Linked DNA regions of Oryzias latipes. The protein of the gene in region 1 binds, or shares a complex with, the protein of each later gene. Links are inferred from orthologs where the notes say so. Each region holds a gene or a part of one and is shown in the gene's direction. Other genes may lie near its edges.

Region 1 (4,267 bases):
CCACTTCTTGAGTTGTGTGTGCATGTGTGCCTTTTTTGTGTTTACCATCTGAACATGACAGTCATTCATAAATAAAAGGTTTCTTCAACTGTAATGTATGGAATCATGGTTAGTTATTACTGCTATTGGGATTGTAGAAGGAGGACCGTCAATTTATTTATAGGGTAACCAAAACTACAGCAAAAAGATTATTGGGCTACATTTTTCAAAACATGATTTTCAGTAAAAATTCCAGAAGAGAAATTAATGTAAACTGCACTTAAAAAAAAAGCAAAATCTTTGCTCTATATGTGTTCATACGTTCCAACGTCTGCCTGTAGCCCCATCACATTAGTAGAACATTTATTAGCTGAAAATGGAAAGTCCACAAACTCTACTATCAAATGTATGCATAATCTACACTATAATACCTTGAAGGAAAAAACTAACAATGCAGAAAAAACAATCTTTGATTTGAGACAAGAATAGAGAAAGGAAAGACATTCAGGAAACTACAACTATTTTGGGGGGGAAATAGAAATTGTAGAAATATTTAAAGGATATGGTTTGTCTTTTATTGGTTGTTTTTTTACACCAACAGCACAAAAATTACCAGTGTAACCACTTCAAGCAACAAGAGAAAAATAACATAGCATTTTTCAGATTATGGAGTGGAAGCCAGGTCATGTGATCTAATAAATGACATAAAACGACTCCATATTCAGCCTGTTTTGACCTGTACGTTGATTATCTTAGCGATGATTAGACTTGTCTCTGTCATGAGTTCAATCCAATCCTTGTATTGAGGCTTGTGGAAACCTTTCCAATTCCTTAGAATAAGCCTCCCAGCCACCATAAATTCAGACCAAAACTGTTCTGATGGGAATCCAGGGGGTCTAGCAGACTGATCTCCTCACAAATATAGTTCTGGTAATATACAACTGCATTTTCTCTTCAAGCCAGAAAGGAAGCACAGAGGAACATTACCATAATGTGTGAGGATTCAAGGAGTACTGCCATTTTCAGTAAACAGAACAGTTTCACTGTCATTTCCAATAGTTATTGTCTTGCAGCAATCACATCGTAAACAACTTTGATGTAGTATTGTAATAATGGTGCACAATTTTTTATAATGAATACATATATTTCTGGCATGAGACTGTCTTTTTTTTCCAGCACAGTGTAAATATTTAATTTTTTTGTTATTCTCTTGTTAAAAAATGTCAACACAAGTTAATTTGCTATATAAATATACGTATTTACTTTATTTTAATTAATTTACAACTGATTTGCAAAAAAAATATGACTGATTAATCCTAACTTTTATAGTACGTATTATTTATTTCATCCTTAAAGATAGGTATTTTCTTTAGTTATATCTTTTCTTGGTAAACATTCAAAATGATAAACAAAGCATGTTTTTTAGGAATGGAATGACAACAGAAAGGTTCTCATTGAAAACATGACAGCGTAGGCCGGTCTGTCGCGCATGCGCATCGTAGCGCTACTTTGCCCGCGCCGGTAGAGCATGCAAGGGAGAGAAATTCAACTGCGTGGTACGGAGCAGCCAGGCGGAGGCAGCGGTACCTGCGCTTTTGACGGGTTATATTGCATATTTTTCACCCGACCCGTCAAAGACTGACTGGAAAGCAGGTAAAAATCTAAAATTTTGCCCACACCGTAATTTCTAGGCTGCATATGGTGACAAGGCCCGCTCGGTGAGTGCTTCCCAACGGTTTGACTGATGCCGCACGTTGGCTTTCTGGACTTCAAAACAAACGTGACGAAGTAGCTTCAGAAATGTCTGTTGACATATTCACAAGCTGCATTCGGGCGGTTAGTTAGATATATGCAGTGTCCCTTCGCGTTGGGGCTGTTGCTTCAAGTCTCTAGGTGGTTTCTCAGTTGGACAAGTTTGTTGATTCGCGTCTCCATGCCGCTCTTTTCATAGTAGGAAAAGTACGGAGAAGTAGGCCTAGCGCGAGGCCACAGCGAGCCTTGGTGAGTGACAGGCTACTTGGCCAATCCAGTGTTAACTCCCGCCCCCATGGCAACCATTCCACCATTCATGTTTGTCGAAAGCACGTGACGTCAGTGTGCTTTCTTCGCGCTACGCCCTCTGATTATAAAACACCGGACAATAAACTGTCCTTAACGGATCAAGTGGTCATCAGCAGTATAATGTAATAATTGCCAAACATTGTGATTTTTTTTATTTTAGATATTTGTATTTTAAGATGGCGACTGCTTTAAATAGTTGAAGTGCGCTATAAGTACAATAGAGTTGTAGACTGGAGGGTTTTTTATTTTATTTTTTAAATAAAACAAGCTAATCTGATATTTAAAGTAAATCACCTTTTAATAATGTAGCATTAATATATTTCCTGCCACAGGGCATGGTTGTTTCCGAAGATGTCACACCGGTTGCCCCCGGTCCAAAAAATAAAATAAAACACATATTAAATAATGTGTATCGTTTTGAAGTTTATATAAGTCAACACGCTTCTGTGCTTGCATATGAAAAACATACATGAAACGTTAGAAAACCACAACAGCCCTTTCTATTGTCTTCTATTGTGTCTATACGTGAATTGGGTGAGCAGAAAACACGTGGGTCGGGTGGTGTGAAGACATCCGGTTTGTAGGTTGCACTGAAAGCAAGCTACTCCAGACTCCACCGGCTATGGCGAACCGAGTCATTCCCGGACCAGAGTAAGATTTATCCATTTTTATAGCTTGTTGCCGTCTTTCTAAAGCCCTCCTGTTGTTTGTGATGTGTGATTGCGCTGCAAATGGAGAGGCGGGATTGCTGTTGCCCCCCCTCGCCGAACCGCCGAGTAGACCCGCCAAGGCCTATGTGATTGCAGAATGACTTGGAATATCGGTATTAGACCGGCGCTTAACGCCTTGTAGGGATCGTTTAGTTGTTTTTTCTTTTACATAAATCCTTCCGCTGTTTATCCGTAGCGATATGACTTTACGGTGATTGAGCATCAGACAATCCTAATGTCGCTTATCATGTTGTTACCTTACCAGGAGATTCCTTTCCTGTGGATAATCATACATGTAGACGACGATGCTGCAGCTATGAATCACCTCAGGAGTCGGTATTTTCAGATTTAGACACAGATGTCCTCTTCTTCAGTTTTGATCAAGGCTCTCCAGCTATTGGCCACATAAATACTACTCATTTTTACATTTCCTCTTTATGCAGCCCCATGTTGCAGCACGTGCAACCTGCAGTTATTTATTTATTTATTTAGGTAATTTACAGTGGAATTATTTTGGCCAGCATTGAATTCAAAGACCCACTCTGGTAGAAAATGTTTCTGGTGATTTCAACATGTCCTAATGGTATTTTTTTTAAGATGGAAGACCAATATAAAGAAAATGAATATTAAAATTGCATTTCTGAATATTTCTTCATTAATATTGTTGTGAATCAAGAGCAGATGAAAAAAATGCAGTTTGAAAAAGAGCTTATTTGTGATATAGAAAATACACTGGGCGGGGTCTGCTGCATTCTGATGCAGACGACTAGATCCATGTACCATTTTTTTCTGCCCTATAAAGTGCTCTGAATTATAAGTCGCAGATGCATAAAAGGGGTATGGGGGCATAACGAAGAAGACAAAAACATATATGTTGCACTTTTAGGAGAAATTTAACAAAATGCTGGCCAGTAACGGATATTTCATCTTGAAAGGCAAATCATACAGATTAGAAAATAATAGACTGAATATATGCACGTTTCACCAAAATAACTCATTGATAGATATTTATATTCATGAAACATGGGAGGATTTTTGTATATCAGTGCAATATGTGAAGAATTTTAAAACAACCACAACATAAAGAACATAATAAATCGACTATGCTCTTTATGTTCTATTTCAGTTCACTAAATTCATTGAATTCTTCATCCTCCGTGTCCTTTGGAACTATTCCACCAAGCCCAGCGTGAGACTGAGTGGTGCTTCTTCTTCTGCATTGCAGTCAATAGCAAATAGTGATACACACACCTACAGTTCCCTCTGGATGTTTTTAGTGGGACAATGACAAATGTATGAACCTCTTTATTTAAAAAAAAATCACATGAGTTGTACCCCTGGCTAAACCTTGCAAATAAAAAAACTGACCTGTATTCAGTAAATTACAGTTCGCCTTCATTTTCTTCGTCTGAGCTGACATCTGGCTCAAAACTACAGCTGGATAGCTCCACTATTGCCTTCTATCTATTATTTTATTTTTTTGCACTGGTAATGTTAGGTTGGGGTTGTGAGGGGCT
Region 2 (4,244 bases), on another chromosome or scaffold:
AAAAGTGTATCGGCTCATTTGAGAGTGCATGTTTCCAAAGCCATCTTCAGTTTTTAGTTTTCTTTCTTTCTTTCTTTCTTTAAAGAGCCATATAGAAATGATAGCCCTGGGCGTTCTGTTTTATTTTATGGACATTATTGGGTTAACATGAAAACAAAACTGCAGTATGTGTAAAAGAATATTTTTTGGACATTTTGTTATGGAAAATTGCCAAAAAAAAAATGGAAATGTAAAGTAAGGAAAGCTTGTACATTTAGTCTTTTTTAAGTGTTGCAGTCATTGTTTTAAATGGTTGTGAAATATCCATATTCAGTTCTCCTATGAATACACTTCATACTAAGGACATGCATAGAACTCGTCAGAGGTTTAACATATCCACCCATAATGGTCATGATGAAGGACTTGTCAACAAGATAAATGGGGAAAACGTGACAATATATTTCTGTTTCATGAAATGTAAAGGTTTTTGATGATACTTTTTAGCACATAATTTAAAGTGGTTGCTATGTGCATTCCTCAAAAACCTTTGCATGCATAATATAATTGTGTAAAATGAAATTGTTGTTAAAAATACCTCCATTGCAGGACCCTGAGTATAATGAGAAATGAATGTTTTCTATTTTGTATAAGCGCTCAACAGTGGAAAAGTTCAATTTGTTGACAAGAAATCTGGTATCTCCTGTACATTTCACACATGTAGCTTATTATGAATTTTAGTCCACCTGCTCCTAACTGGTGTCTTTTTTTTTTTATAAAAGTTTTTATAAAAACAAAGCTGTTTGGAGTACATCAAACCAGCCAAACTAATGTAAGATATTGTTTTCCCTTGATGAATTAAAAGTGTGCTGAAAAAAGGTCTTTACTTGGGCAGTAAAGGTTTTTGGTTGTAACAGGGAAATGGTGAATGCACTGAATTTTAATTTTTTTTTTCCTGCTTATGCAGTTGAATTAAGTGTTACATTTTCATGGTTAAAAATAGTGTGGATTTCTGGTGCGTCCATTTAAAACATGCTTTATTTTGATCTAAGAAATAATACATTCAAGTATTAAGGATACATGAAAGCTATTAAAACACGTTTTATAGCAAAACCATATAACAAGCCCAAGACACGTGTGCAACCTAACAATGCAAAAATCACAATTACAACATCCTAAGTTATGTTTTTTAATGTCAGGTGTTTTTATTGGCTCTCAGGTCTAGAATTCAATTTGTTTTCGTTAAAAAGGTATATGTGAACACTGATCTTTTTTATATATTGTGGTTGCTTTATTCTGAAAGTCAATAAATATATTAAATATCAAAATTAATGGAGTAATCAGTCATTTTCAACTGAATTGTATTCACTGCGTCGGTCAGAGGGCGGTTACGTGGTCTTTTGAGTTACATCTAGACTAGCCAATGAACCGTCTCCTGGAGTAACATTTCGACCAATCAACTTCAAGGAGGTGGGGCTTATTGACATCACACAAAGTCCAGCAACGATTCAGGGAGTGCAGGCAAGTCGTTGGAACGGCAGAGTTAGCATATTGCACAGCGGAAGGTAGGCAGTTTTTCACAAAAAGCGATGCGTTTCTGCTACTATTCTGGGTCTGAGACATTTTAATAATGACATGGTAGAAGACAAACCACTGTTTTATGTTTTCGAATTTGATTTAATAGCCTGGAAATGTTAAAAGGAAAGGATAGCATGTGGTTTAGCCGGCTAGCAAAGATGGCGCCTCCTTAGCCTAGAGGATGACGCAGTAGATGGAGGCGGGCTGGAGCGCCTTTCAGCGCGTTGTTCGAGTCAAACAGACGTACTTACGTTTACGTCGACATTTACATGTATGTAAAGTCTACTTATTTGGTTATAGTGGGTTATTTTTTCTTATTGTTAATATTATATTATTAATATTTTATTTTTTGTCAACATAAGCATACATACTGACACACTGTCTGCAAAAAATTAAAAAGGCTAGCTTCTGTGTGACTGTTGTTGCGTTATTGTTGTTGAGCTGGTTGACCCAACGTGTCGGACGTTTACCCCTGTTTTTAGTTTCTGTGGTTTAATGTTGGAGCAGCAATACACATATATTCAGACAGAGCGATCAGTTTTTTTCTATGTTATGTTATTTAGCGATTTACTTTGGCCAATTAAAAGATTATAGGTGTTTTGATTTTTTCATTGTATTTTGAAAGCAATGGATCTAACTATTTTTTTGGTGTCCGTGTTGCCATAAAGTCAGTTTCTTGTTGAATTTTGCGAATTACGAAATTAATTTTAATAAAAAGAAGACATGGTGGGAAAAGGTGGTTGAAAGAGAGCAATGATTTGACAATTTTGCCTTACTGATGCTTCTTTGTCAAGATTAAATATCCCCCTTTTTGTCTTGTTATGGTTTTCACAACAGTTTAACATAAACGTGTTTTATTCAAATTATTGAAAAATAGTTAAGGGTAAAGAAAAAATGTAATTTCTTTCTTCTTTTTGGGCTATATATTTACCAAAATATATATGTAATATACCGCAATCATATCTGTAAAAATAAAAGTTATAGAAATCTTGTCTTTTTTTATTTCAACGGGCCTATATTATTCAAAAATCACTTTTTTGAGCTTTTAGGTGTAGTAAAATGTTCATTCCTTATAAAAAATAACCACAAGGCGGTATTTTGACCCATTGACTGATCTCTGAGTATTCCTCCTAAAACCTGCTGTCTGAGCACCAGCCCCTCCCAATCCACAAAAACAAGCTGGTTCTCACATTGTGATGTAACAAAGTGAGGCAAAAGTTTGGATCTTGTTTGTTTTCGTGGGAGAAACGCACTCTAGGTCAATGCCATGAATTGGGGGGCACTCATATGGAGCAAAAGGGGGTTACTTATGGGTAGGAAAATGAGCTGCAAAAATACCTAATATTTCGTTTAAAAAAATCATTTTTTTTTGTGCCAAAGGTAACGTATCATTTAAATGCTTATTGTTTACTCTGAAAGGCCTTAAAAATAGCACGATATAGGTCCCTTAAAGTAATGTTTTGCTTTTTATTCTTAAGATTTTGGTTCATTTTTCAATAAAATACATTTCTTTTGTCTTGACACAGAAAAGACCACTGACTTCTTTCTAAGGGTTAAGTGTATGTATGTATGATATCTTAGCCTTTTTAGTAATACTTATTCTGGGCTAAATCTAGTCTTTGACCTCTTCATGCTGTATGTCACTATTTTTGCATCAGCATCATTTTCAATGGAAAAAACATTCTGAATGATAATAGGGTTAGGCATGAAGAGGCTTTTGTTTTCTTCTTAATTTTAAACTGTTATTTTTTTCAGTAGAAATTTATTATTTTCAGCATCACAGAACCAAAGAATTATGAAAAGCAGAACTTGTTGATGTAAGATCTGCCAAAGTTTGTGGTTCAGATTTAAAATGCAAATTATCAAAGTGTCTAGAGTAAGAGGTAAAAGATGTGTATGTTCCAAAGATTCAGAAGATATTTATGTAAAATTTTAATGCAATAAACCTTTAAATTTATTATTTTCTGTGGTTTAAGAATACTACTGGATTATTTGTTTCTTAAGTGATTTCTAAAGTAGTAGAGAAATATGCTTAGTTTAAGTATTTACTTTATTTTCCCAGACTTGAAATGAACAGAATACGAATTCACGTTTTACCCTCAAGTCGTAACCGGACAACCCAAGCAAGCCGACCCCAGGAGCCCCAGGTCTGCTCCTTCACCCAGCGACCATGTTCACAGCCTCGCTTGGAGGGTCTGGAGTTCTGTATGAAACACATTCTGGAGGACAAGAACGCCCCATACAAACAGTGTAGCTACGTCTCTGCCAAGAATGGCAAGCGCTGCCCCAATGCTGCGCCAAAGGCCGAGAGGAAAGATGGGTGGGTGGAAGGTCATTTACATCAGCTGGCAAAAGAATGAAACAGCAGTTGTATTTCTGCCCTGTGGAAGCTCAGTCACAGGGCAATAAGAAAATCATGTAATAAACAGTCTGTTTGCTGCTATTAGCCTAATTTATACATTTTTTTTTTTTTTGGTAGAGTAACATTCTGTGCGGAGCACGCTCGTAGGAGCGCCATGACCCTCCGAGCGCAGATGAGGAAGACTTCTTCTGGTCCATCTCCAGAGGCTTTGTTGTCTCAGCTCAGTAGCTACAGTCGTGGAGAGACGCAGAGTCAGGACGGAGGGCGCTCCGAAGCTAGCCGAGTTCTTGGTGAGAAACTTTGGCTTCATTCTGAGGTTTTTGACTGT
Region 3 (3,512 bases), on another chromosome or scaffold:
CTGTTGCGTGAATTCGTTTTGTGTTGCGAGCGGAATGGGTGGTTTTAGGCAGATGGATTGCATTGCATAATCTGCTTCGGAAATACCAACATGGCGTAGTGCGCGCTGACTAGAAACTGCGGTGAAAAACGGAGCTCACATTCATCCGATCCTGCAGAAGATGCGCGGAGGCGCATCTCTTATCTGTTTGAAGGGAGGCTTTTTCAAAGTTTCTCACAGGCTTTCATTCTAGTCAAACGCATGTTAATCACCAAAACTACGTAAATGCAGTCTGTTTTCCTTTGAAAATCATTTTTGAGTTTTTTTATTTTTATTTGACAGTATTTCATGTTTAAGCCGCTCTGTAAATGATACTGGAAACCTGTTAAAATGACATCATGTGCTGTGCTGCATACTGACTTGACAAAGCACATGTAGGGCAGTAGGGTTTGGACTGTTTGCATTGGCTTCTGTTGTTCTCATCAGATATGTGCTGCCAATCCCTTTTTCCCTTAGATGCTTTCTCTTTTAGGAGGGGCTCTGTCAAAAAAATGAAAATAAATGCTTGTTTTTTTTTCTTTAAATAGTTGTTTGGGTGTAATGGGAATTATTTATTCACCTGAAATTCAGCTCGCTTTGTGCTGTTATTCAAACTATCTGAAGCATTCTCTTCCACAAGGTCAGAGCAGATCATTTCCATGGCTTTGTTGGAAAGTTGACTTCTTCACTCAGACATTTGGGAAAAATAATGTAGTAAACAAAAGACATATTTTTTCATCTTGAGTTGTTTAAATGTATTTTTGTCAGCCAGAATGCAGAAAACATTGCAGTGACTTTCATTTACATTCAAAATTTCAATTGCATTTTCTCCCAAAACTTTTGTGATCATGAATCGACTGCAGTTTAAATTGTGTATCATGACATTGAATATTGACATTTCTTCTACTCGTATCAGTTGTAGTGATTTTCCACTAAGTCTTAGTGTGTCACAGAACCTGTTATGCCACTTTTATGGTCTTATGTTGTATATGATCACTCTTTATTTGTATTGTTTTGTGACAAAATGTATTTGTAAAAAATGTATTGTAAAGCATATTTGATTATTTTGATTTAGCTTTTAAAAAATGTTTTTGTTCTAATTTGTTAAAATAGTCAGCACATTTCAATAAAGTATTTTCCACACTGTAAGGCGAACTTAAAGGCCTTCGTTTAAAAAAAACAACAATGTACTTTACAATCTGAAGCGCTTTACATATAGATACATTCTGGTTGTGTTATTGTGAATACGCTAACATGGCTATTGTGTAGCTTTGCCTTACTATTTTTTTTTAATCATGTTTCAGTTAAAAAGGTTGGGATTTAGTGTAGTCACAGTAACATTTGTTTTAGCTTTATTAGTCTTTTTTATGTTGCAAACAAGGTTGAGAGTTACAGGTATCATGAATATGCTAACGCTTCTACCATGGCTAACATTTAGCATGCTATAAACAAGTGCTACAGTTACTGTGAATGCAAGTCTGACTTACTGAACTTAAAGGCCTGTTCACACCGGGACGAATTTCGCCGGCGATTTTCGCCGACGTTTAACGCCTCGTGACTAAACAAAGGGCCCCAATGAGAGTGTGCACACCGACGCGAAAAAACGCCAGGCGTTAAAGCGTCAAAAAAAAAAACGCCTCGGGTTCGTTTTTTTTTTTCGTCGCGTCGAAATCTACTCGACCAATGAGAACGGCGCTTTTGCTCATGTGTCTGGAGCTTCTGAAATTACAGTAAAACACAACTTGGGGGCGCTCAAACACAAAACTGCCTTGCTGAGCACACATACCAGCGAAGAAGATAGACGCCAAGTAGCGTCTACACAGCCGCGAAGCAATAATGACGGACATTCTAAAACATCCCCGAACCAAGTACCAGTTGGAGCTACTGGTGCTTGAAATATTCATGTTTTCTTTGTTTGATTCTGACAAGCGTGTAAATACTTGCTCTCTTCTTCTGAGTGAAAAGCGACTTTAAGAAGCGTAAAGTTGCGCAGCGCCACCTTGTGTACAGGAGTATTTCTGTTTTACATTAAGCGCCATCTAATGTCAGGGAATGAAATTGCATGTTCACTCCACTCATCGTCAGCGAAAATCGCCTGGGTGTGAACACAAAAAACGTGGCGAAAAACGCTGGCGAATAACGCCTGGCGAATATTCGTCCCGGTGTGTACGGGTCTTAACTCTGACTCTTTAGTCTCACTTAATGGCCTTATAGTTTAGTGTGGTTGACAGTTTTGGTATCTTTTATTTACCTTTGGCACATAAATATCAGTATTTTTACTCTAATTGTATTATAATGGGTAAGAACTTGGAATTTTATGTTACTACAGAAATATTTCAACTTTTTTGATTGACTCTTTTTTTCTGTCACTCTGTTTTCCTCCACGTCTTTTCCCAGGCTGTCCTCAGGTGGGGCAGTAAGCGGGTGGAGTGGAGCAGGCCGCGGTGCCCGTCCCTCTGCACTGCATGGCTGCGATGGCGCCCGCTCTCACCGACGCCCCAGCTGAAGCTCACCACATCCGCTTCAAACTGGCTGCCCCATCCTCAAGCCTCTCGCGAGCCAGTGGAGAGAACAACAGTAACGCCAGCAACATCCTCATCCACAGCAGCGGCCCCGCTAAGTGCAAGGTCACTTCTGAAGAGTGCCCCCTCGACTTTTGTGGTGGTGATCAGGAACAGCAGCAGCAGCCTCAAGCAGACTCTGTGTCTCAGGCCTCTGCCCTGGGAAAACTCCAGCCACTGGTGGCTTCCTATTTATGCTCTGATGTGCCACCCGTCTCTGCAACTAAGGAGTCAATCAAGCTGCAAGGAGTCATTCTTAAACAGTCCGTGTTGAAAAACCACAGAATACTGCCCACCTCCCTGCTCAACGGTGGGGGAGACTTCATCTTGAGGAAGAGGCAGGCAATCGAGCTCTCTGGTGGACAGTTAAAAAGCCTCATGAGTGGCAGCACCAACGGAAGTGGCCAGCCCATGGCACCTGTCAATGGTCTGGCCAAGAAACTTGCCACTGTGTCAGGCTCTAGCTGTGTGGTTGCAGTGAATGGTGATAAGCCCGCTGCTGCTGCCACGGACTCCCAGTCCCAGAACATGCCGCTGGAGTCGGAAACCATATCAGGGCATACTCCTGTGAAAGGAACCCTCAAACAGAAGCATTCCACAGAGGTTTCTCAAAACACAGATGGAGAAAATTTTGAATCACCAGTGCTTCATTCTGCTGCACTTTCCCCTCTTACCTACGACAACTCAAACTCCTCTGAACAGTTAAATTTGGAGGAATCTGGTTCACATGCACCTTTCAGACAGCTTCAGGGTTCTGACAGAGAGAGACCGGGTAGCAGCCATCAGGGCTTTTCGCCTTGCACCACAGCGCCGCAGCCTCCTCTGCCCGGTGGTTCATGCACAGACGGCCTTGATGCTCAAGTTAAACAACGTACACTTCTCAACAGCAGCCGCCAAGCAGAGATTGAAAACAGGTTACGGCGCCTGCGCAAA
Region 4 (4,255 bases), on another chromosome or scaffold:
TCAGTTAACTTTGGAACAAATCATTAAAAAAGATAGTGAATGTCCCCCATCCCACTTTTAAAACTCACACAAAAAGGTCAAAGACCAACCAAAAGGATTTTTACTTCATTTTCTGAACCAGCAGAAGTGGTATTCTTGTTTGTTTCAACACAATGTTGCAACAGCTGTTTTTCCCCAAAAATTATACATTTTAAACTTTATTTTCACGGTGGCAGTTGTATCTCCCATGACGGGATGTGTTTTGTTTATTCAGTGGCTTGTCAAGAAAATAAAGAAAACAGAAGTGTCGTCAAAGTTTCTCATGCGGTTTTTGGTATTGATAAGTGATTTTTTTTTACTTCCAAAGAGGAACAATATCAATATAACAAAATAACAGTTTTTTAAAAGAAAGGGTGTCCATTTAACTTTTTAAAACACACATTTGGAAAAAAAAAAAAGGAGCAACGGTGAGCATCCTGTTATGGCTGTGTAAAAACAGCTAAGCTGTTCTGCTTATCATGTGTCTTCTTGGCAGATTGAAAGATTCAAGACTGGCTGAATAAACACTAAATTGTTTTAAACACAAACAAACTGCATATTTTTAAAGTTGTAAAGCAGTTTGTTCTGTTAACATTGTTCGTACGGCTGCAAAAACCATTGACTGTTGTTATTTTACTGCCCTGTGATGTGGTGCATCATCTACTGTCACTTGAACACAAACAAGACGGTGAAGAAAATGGTGGATTTAACTGTGGGGGAAAAAGCCTAATATACCTTGGATTTTTAAAAGTGTTGTGCACAGGAATCACAAAAGTCAATAATGTAGCTGCTCAATATAAAAAGAGAAGAATGGACATCATGTTTTGAGAAATTTCATAGGTTTTACGGAGCTAACATAATACCCAAAGCAGACTACTTTATCTATTTAGTGTTTTCCATCACTTCAAGTCTGAACAAATTTCTATTGATGTTGATAACCTTTTTAACCAACAACTAACATTTGACTTCAGTAGACCTAGGCCCCTACAATGACAGGAATGTCTTCTTGAAATGTTTGTCTGTGGATATGAAACGATCCCTGTATTGATAGGGGCCTTGCCTTTTTACAGAAATCTCACTTTTCTCTTTTTATTTCACAGAAAGCCTTCATTTGATTCTGACGTTGAAAAACTTTGAAGCAGCAAGTTGGTACTTTGACAGTGGGGTCCGTGATTGATTTAGTGCTTGTACACTGCGTGACATACACAAAAATACTAAATGTAAAAACTTTACACATAATTCAAATTGGACATGCTCCTATTAATTATGAATCCTAATTTCAACGTACTGGTAATCAAAAATCCGAAGATCCAGTTCGTATTTTGCGAGTCTCACACTGACGCGCCTTACTTGCTGGGTTGCCAGTTTCGTTGAAATACAGCCATGCCATGATGTTTCTTTTGTCCTCTCCAAAGAGAAGGATAAGGAGATAAACTTGGCAACAAACCACACAACAGGAGGAAGTGAGGGCTTGACGCTTGTAACATTGTGGTGATAGCTTACTCTCGTTTATTAACAAATTCCCCGTTTCCATTATTTTTTTATTTATTTTTTTCGATTAAAAAATAAATTCAGACTCCAATGGTCAGCATGGAATAGTCAAAGGAACAGGTAATCTGGGGGAAAAGGCGATAACGTCATTGCCTGGCTGTCAGAGCTAGTTGTGCTAATGTTAGCATTCTAGTTTTGCTTACCGCGCCGAATACGCCTTTACTCTTTAACTTTAGATTTTGACTTCACGAAAGCTACAAATAAGTAACTTTCATGCATTAATGTGTGTGATCACAACTGTTTGATACCTAATTTGAAGTTACTTTTGTTGAATGTAAGTTTTCTAGATGGTAAATATAACAGATCTCTGTGTATGAAGTAAAACAAAATTTTCTTTTTCCCGTCAGTTTTCTCTGACTGCAGGGTTGTTGTTTTTTTTCCTTGGGCCCTTCAGGGCCCAGGAAGAGGATGCATCGTGTGGACAAAGAGTTGCAGACATCAGCTCACAAGATGAGTACATCCTTGCTTTTCCAGCTGTCGGCTCATGAGAGAGAGCTGGATTTGGTGTTTCTAGACCACAGCTATGCCAAACCGTGGAATGCTCACCCAGATGCCAGCAGCGCACGCCCCACACGGACGCTTTTTGTTGCCCCCCGTCGCCAGCCTGAGCCATCATTGTGAGTTTGAATGCTTAATGAAATAAGACTTTTTTTTTTTTATCAGCTGGGTAGGACAAATGGATTTTTTTGCTCAACTATTTTTATGTTTTACATCTATACCATGTTTTCTGTTTTGCAGAGACTCTGATTCCCTGATAGATGTGGAGACGGTCACACCCTCCCCAGTTCCTTTGTATGATAACCATAAAGCTCTTGGTGTGATGAAGGAGTGCGAGCGACATGTTCTGTTTGCTCGAACAGTTGCTGAGAGCCCCCCACCCCCAGATGACTGGGAGGAACATATAAACAAGTAAAAGATAATAAACTCACATAAAACCAACACCATGAACATCAGTTGCAGTGATTTCAATTTGACTTTATGTTTTGTGGTATTTCAGGACAGGATGGTCGGTGGCACAAAACAAATTGTTTAATAAAGTCCTGAAAGCTCTACAAGCTGAGAGATTAGCACGTCTCGCCAATGAAGATGTAATGTATTTGATGAAAGTCTCTTTTCTTTGATTTGTTTTTCTTAATGATTCTTTTTTATACATAGAGGTAAAAAATCTAAAAGCTGGTGTATTGTTTATATTTATTGTAAACTTAGTCAACGATTAGACAGCAAAGTAATATATGCTTTTCTCCTGTTTTAGATTTTAAAAAATTACCTAAATTGAGAATAGGTTTTTTTTCTCTGTAGTCAGTGAGATTAAATTAAAAGAGAGAATTTCTGCAAAAATATTTATTTTGAATGAAATTGATTACTTGTTACTTGTATTGCCCTTTTCCCTTTAGGCTTCCAATGAACCCATTTTAAGAAGGATTGCTGTGGACAAGTGTGCCAGGAAAGTTCGACAAGCACTCGCCAGTATGAACTGGGACACCAAACTGACACAGTGGTTACACACCACTCTGATCGAATCTTTAAGCTTGCCGATGCTCGCTGCCTACCTTGATGTGTTGCAGACTCTCAAAACCAAGGTATGATCTTAGTGACTGGACAAAAAAAAAGTTTTTTTTTTGATGGATTTCCATCTTAATAATACATTTTTTTCTACACATGCAAAGCTGCCATCGTTGATAGACAGAATGTTACTTCCGACTGCAAAAACTGGAGCTCCAAGTGCAGAGGCTCTGTCGCTGCTACTGAAACGTCCATGGGATCCGGCTGTCGGGGTTCTCTCTCAAAACAAACCGGTAAAAGCCTCAGACCTCAGTTCCTGGTGTGACAATAGCATTGTATGACTTTTGTGTTTACCTCAGCAAATTCTGATTGCACAATCTGTATCCCTGTCTGTTTTTGATTGTTTCAGAGTAAGCTTCCAGGATCTCCTCTCATCCTTATTGCCCCGTCAACCCCATCCAATCCGGCTCTTGCCACAACACGGCGGATGAGGTTCTGGCAGTCCCAGCTCTCCTGCTTGGGAAAGGTCTGAAACACATTGAAGTCTTTGTGATATTCGGATTATTGGTGTCAATTGCTAAAACAACAACAAATGATTGTGTTGCAGGTGATCCCAGTGCACACTCACGTAAACAGTGGAGCCAGTATTAGCATCACTCAGTGTTTGGAGCACATGCTTGGGACTGTAAGGGCAAAGGTCATGGAGGTAGGGGATCTTTATGATTGATTGTAAAATTAATCAATTTGAGTGCAGCTTTTTTGTTTTTAATAGGCATGTGGAAAAAAATCTTACTGTATTTTTTTTTCTATGTTTGGTTGCTTTCTTAGCAATTCATCAAAAACAGGATTTATCTTAAAGACATTAAGTTTATATAATAAGAAACATTCAAGTTTTTCCAACCAAAAATATTAGTGAAGTTAAAATGAAAGTACCATATGGATTGTATTTGCAATACAAACGTATCTTTTAATAAAAATTGATGTCTGCCTTCGGCAGCTTTATTCATGTGCTGCTACTTTTGCCAACAGGTTCACAGTCACTTCCCCCACAAGCCCATCGTGCTGGTTGGCTGGAACGCCGGCGCTCTCATTGCTTGTCATGTAAGACTTGGAAGTTATTTAAAATCTGAATTCAGTACATTCTTTAATTTGCTGCTGTTGCATTTCAGGTTTCTCTGATGGA
Region 5 (4,065 bases), on another chromosome or scaffold:
GATTAAAACAGTAGAGAAAAAAGGGTAAACAGTAGATTTTAAAATTTGCAGTAAACTGGTTTATTTGCAAATTTATGACAGATCACAGCATCAGCACACCAGCAACATTTTTAATATGTCAGAAACAGGAGTTTGTTTGTTTTTTTATCTTAAATGTACATTTGCTGTTTGCAAAAACAGGGTTAAAAAACATTTGGTTAAAACAAAAACTAATTAATTTAAACATAATTAAGAAAAGAAAAACAAGGGTTTATGTTTGGATATCAATGTTGGCAAAACATATTAAGGAAAAACATTAAATATTGGCAAAAAATAAGATGTGTTAGAAGATGTCGATTAATCTTGCAGGAAAATTGCTTGGTTGAAAAAAACCATAAACATACTGCAAGTCCTAGAAATATTTTAAAAAGAAATAGAAATAAAGTTGTTTAAGCTCGGGACTTGAAGATTAGAAGAATAGTTATTCTGGTGCAAACACATCCTGTCAGTGATGTTCAATGTAAACTGAGCCTGTTGGCAACTTCCTTCACATAGCAATTGATGTTGATTTAACCAGAACTCTATCCATCAGGCTACAGTTTAAAAAAAAATCAGTTGACAAAATATATGTAACTAGTAAGGATTAGTAAACAGTATTTATGTGGAAAGATATTTAACAGTAGATTGTACATTTAATGCTTGCTTTACACATTAAGAAAATACCCTTTGCAGTTAAAAATAAAATAAAAGCTAACACCTGTTAAATGTCCCTGGAATTACAAATCTTATCTGAACTTCTTTTGTGTGTATTTGAATATGTTTTTTGTGTGTGTCTATATATATAAAAACTACAAGAAGAACTAAAATAAAATAAAAAGATAAATAAAACTACAAGAAGAACTAAAAGAAAATAAAAAGAAATCAAACAACCCACGGTTATGTAATGTTGATGTGTTTGTTACTAGACCAGCGCACCTTCCACTTCCTCGCAGCACAGCTGACACGTGACTCTTTCAGATACCTCCGAGCAGTGCTGCTTCCTTTTACCGTTTGAGTCTCACTGCACCATTGTATTCTTCCGCGTGGTTTTACCTTAAGTGTATAATTTTACATCAGGTTATATATATGTATATGTATAACTTCTTAATACAATAAAAATAATAATGTATATTGGGTTTATAGTCACATGTATTAATGCCCAACTATTATTTTCAATCAATGCCGGTGTCAGGATCTAGTTGATCACAAAAACGAGTTCCACCCAATTCGCCATTTTACGTTCACTAGCTGCTTTGTTGTGCAGATAGAATATCGTGAACGGTAGCGGTATATTTTTTATGTCATATGTAGGTGCAGTAACTACATTATCTGTGTAAATATACCCAAACAGCGGCATTTTAAGGTAGGGCTTTAGGAAATTTATTCTGAATACGAGATTAGTAGGTAACTATAACCCGGTCTACCTAGCCAGACAACAACGTGCTTTCAGTTTTCGTCTCAGAAAGACCACAGTTAGTTATAAGAAATACATCTATTTTTCTCTGAAGCTGTGAGCTCCCAGACGACACATTGACGACCGCCGTGCAAGAAACGAAGACTGCTGGGGAGATGGCGAGTTCTGTGGGAAACGTGGCAGACAGTACAGGTTAGTGGCTCAAAAAAATAAAAGCACCTCCTTTAGAAAGAAGCAACGATTTAAAATAGTTTTTAAAAGTAAATTTTAATCTAACAATGACCCTTTTGGTAATCCACAGCAATAAGGTAAATGAGGATGCTAGTATGTAAACCAGTAGCGCCGCTCTTCTAACACCACGGTACCAATTTATATGTATTAATAGATATATTATAATAAGGCTATTTTATTATATTTTTCGCCAATTTGTACCGAATATTCCTTCATTTGGCGTCTTAACCTAAACAGTATTAAGTCAAGACGAGCTAGCGTTGGTATTTGTAGATGTGACGTTTAAATGGGTAGGAAACGATTAAATCTTTGGCGCTGCAACATTTTTCCTCCTTGGGCGTCACTATGTTCATACATTTTATTTTTTTAAATCCTAAACTGAACATTTATCTCGTGGTTTTTGTCTGAGAAAATGGCCGCCAGCTAAGGGGCGTTTCGGTTTGCAATAAAGGGCGCTGAAATGAAGTGTCCTACTAAAATGCCTTCAAAGATATCTTATTTTTTAATTCATTTTTTTTTGGGAGGGACGGCGAATGTTAGGGATATATGTTTTTCAAAATTAGAAAATGACGAACAAGCTCAGTTTTAACGATAAACTAACTTTAACGCGATTATTAGCAGATTTTGCGTGCGTTGTGGTGCAGTTTTTTTCCACACACCCCACCCCCACAATAAAGACCCACTTCGATGAAAATCGTGTTTTTAACTTGTTCGTGTAGCATTTTTCTTATAATGGATGATATGTAAAGAAATTTAAGATTAAAATTCAATCGTGAATTAGCAGCAGCAGATGATAAAAATGCTGTTGGAAAAAGCTTGTAGCAGTGACGTAGATGCTACAGTAGGTGGAGCCACAATCTCCCTGTTCTCTATCAAGATGCACCTGTTTGATGACGAATAGACTTAATAACGTTTTCGTTTACTCTGCATTTTGGAAAAGCTAGTCTGACATATAAATTATGCGTTTCCTTAGTTGGAAAAAAGCGTCAGTGTGCATTTTTTATATACATTAAATTGTAATTAATTTATATGTACAGATGCTTATAGTTTGTATAAAAGTTGTGAAGTGTCCCCCTTATGTTCCCTCTTGTGACGTCATCATTTTTACCCATTATCACATTTTGAAGTTACATTTGTCAGGCATTTATTTTAATACAAACATTGTCATGTTTGCTTCTATTTTTATTTCTTCCTGTTTTTTCATTTGTCGTCTTTATTTTCTTTCATCACCTCTAACATGTCGTTTCCCCCCTCCTTGGCCTGTGTTGGTTGTCCAGAACCAACAAAACGTATGCTTTCCTTCCAAGGGTTGGCTGAGCTTGCACACCGGGAGTATCAGTCAGGAGATTTTGAGGCGGCCGAGCGCCACTGCATGCAGCTGTGGAGGCAGGAGCCTGATAATACTGGAGTGTTATTGCTGCTGTCCTCCATTCACTTCCAGTGCAGAAGACTTGACAGGTGAGAACACTTTATACAGGCTGGCAAATGAGAGCAGCAGAATGGAAGGGCTTTACAAATGAAAGGATCAAGAAATGGTATTTCCAACACTTTCTTTATTGTTAGAAGAAACCAGCCGTTTTTTAGCTGAGGTGCTATTTCTACTTCTTAAAGAGGCCTCTATTGATGATTCCCTAATCCTTTGACACCTGAATTTATTTCCAGTTATGAAAACATGTTTTTGTTTTCAAGTAGATGCTAAATAAAATTGAGATGGTAAATTTGACAAGAACACATAAAATAGATATGATTTTAGGTAAGTCACAAATCATCGACAATCAGCATCTACCATACTGTTTCCAGTATAGAGAATTTTAATCATGCAACACATTTATTCCTAGTATTTTCACTCTAATCACCGACAGAACTGATAAACCTTGAACTAAAGTCAACACAAAGCTTATTGTAATTGGCCTCCCCAGCCTTATTTTAATTAACAATAAATTGTCTCAAAACTTTAGAGTGAAGTCTTTTGCCTCTTTATTCAGTACATATTTAACTTCCAAATTTACTCAAATTGTAATAACTGTAATGACTATTTTTCTTATAAAAAACCTAGATTAACTGATCTAAATGTTTTGAAATTATTGTTAACTCGTTTGAAGTAGCACAAGCAGTTTTGTTTGTCTGGACGATTGTATTTTATTTTTCTACAGCTTCTGCAAACATAGAAGGGACATTTTTTGATCATATGGCAGACTTTGAGGCAGTTTTATTCCAGTTGAAAGCACAGGCCAACTCTACATTTGTCACAAATCTGAGGGGTGCTTCTTTTGTAGAAAACACTCCTTTTTTATATCCACTCTCATTAGAAGAAAGTCAGAATGCAGACAGCATGATGTAAATTAGGCCTGCACAATAAGTCACAAATGTATCATTATTGCGATATCAAGCTGTGCAATACG

What was found.
Region 2: phf20 (region 1) and kansl2 share a complex: the UniProt entries of both Homo sapiens proteins name them as parts of the NSL complex. The link is inferred for Oryzias latipes from reciprocal best matches to the Homo sapiens genes PHF20 and KANSL2.
Region 3: phf20 (region 1) and KAT8 regulatory NSL complex subunit 1 share a complex: the UniProt entries of both Homo sapiens proteins name them as parts of the NSL complex. The link is inferred for Oryzias latipes from reciprocal best matches to the Homo sapiens genes PHF20 and KANSL1.
Region 4: phf20 (region 1) and kansl3 share a complex: the UniProt entries of both Homo sapiens proteins name them as parts of the NSL complex. The link is inferred for Oryzias latipes from reciprocal best matches to the Homo sapiens genes PHF20 and KANSL3.
Region 5: phf20 (region 1) and ogt share a complex: the UniProt entries of both Homo sapiens proteins name them as parts of the NSL complex. The link is inferred for Oryzias latipes from reciprocal best matches to the Homo sapiens genes PHF20 and OGT.

What each region holds. Positions count from the first base shown.
Region 1 is NC_019863.2:26,145,578-26,149,844, forward strand, and holds the start of phf20 (PHD finger protein 20), read left to right. Parts: upstream 1-1,460; 5' UTR 1,461-1,632; intron 1,633-2,582; exon of another isoform or gene 2,583-2,691; intron 2,692-4,267. UniProt on the Homo sapiens protein: Methyllysine-binding protein, component of the MOF histone acetyltransferase protein complex.
Region 2 is NC_019865.2:25,923,634-25,927,877, forward strand, and holds the start of kansl2 (KAT8 regulatory NSL complex subunit 2), read left to right. Parts: upstream 1-1,434; 5' UTR 1,435-1,541; intron 1,542-1,586; exon of another isoform or gene 1,587-1,825; intron 1,826-3,616; 5' UTR 3,617-3,623; coding exon 3,624-3,874; intron 3,875-4,033; coding exon 4,034-4,206; intron 4,207-4,244. UniProt on the Homo sapiens protein: Non-catalytic component of the NSL histone acetyltransferase complex, a multiprotein complex that mediates histone H4 acetylation at 'Lys-5'- and 'Lys-8' (H4K5ac and H4K8ac) at transcription start sites and promotes transcription initiation.
Region 3 is NC_019877.2:19,812,661-19,816,172, reverse strand, and holds part of KAT8 regulatory NSL complex subunit 1, read left to right. Parts: intron 1-2,415; 5' UTR 2,416-2,483; coding exon 2,484-3,512. UniProt on the Homo sapiens protein: Non-catalytic component of the NSL histone acetyltransferase complex, a multiprotein complex that mediates histone H4 acetylation at 'Lys-5'- and 'Lys-8' (H4K5ac and H4K8ac) at transcription start sites and promotes transcription initiation.
Region 4 is NC_019867.2:17,071,565-17,075,819, reverse strand, and holds the start of kansl3 (KAT8 regulatory NSL complex subunit 3), read left to right. Parts: upstream 1-1,453; 5' UTR 1,454-1,629; intron 1,630-1,916; exon of another isoform or gene 1,917-1,963; 5' UTR 1,964-1,977; coding exon 1,978-2,186; intron 2,187-2,307; coding exon 2,308-2,478; intron 2,479-2,566; coding exon 2,567-2,657; intron 2,658-2,963; coding exon 2,964-3,149; intron 3,150-3,236; coding exon 3,237-3,365; intron 3,366-3,481; coding exon 3,482-3,598; intron 3,599-3,679; coding exon 3,680-3,778; intron 3,779-4,101; coding exon 4,102-4,173; intron 4,174-4,241; coding exon 4,242-4,255. UniProt on the Homo sapiens protein: Non-catalytic component of the NSL histone acetyltransferase complex, a multiprotein complex that mediates histone H4 acetylation at 'Lys-5'- and 'Lys-8' (H4K5ac and H4K8ac) at transcription start sites and promotes transcription initiation.
Region 5 is NC_019868.2:18,366,189-18,370,253, forward strand, and holds the start of ogt (UDP-N-acetylglucosamine--peptide N-acetylglucosaminyltransferase 110 kDa subunit), read left to right. Parts: upstream 1-1,261; 5' UTR 1,262-1,587; coding exon 1,588-1,624; intron 1,625-2,940; coding exon 2,941-3,121; intron 3,122-4,065. UniProt on the Homo sapiens protein: Catalyzes the transfer of a single N-acetylglucosamine from UDP-GlcNAc to a serine or threonine residue in cytoplasmic and nuclear proteins resulting in their modification with a beta-linked N-acetylglucosamine (O-GlcNAc).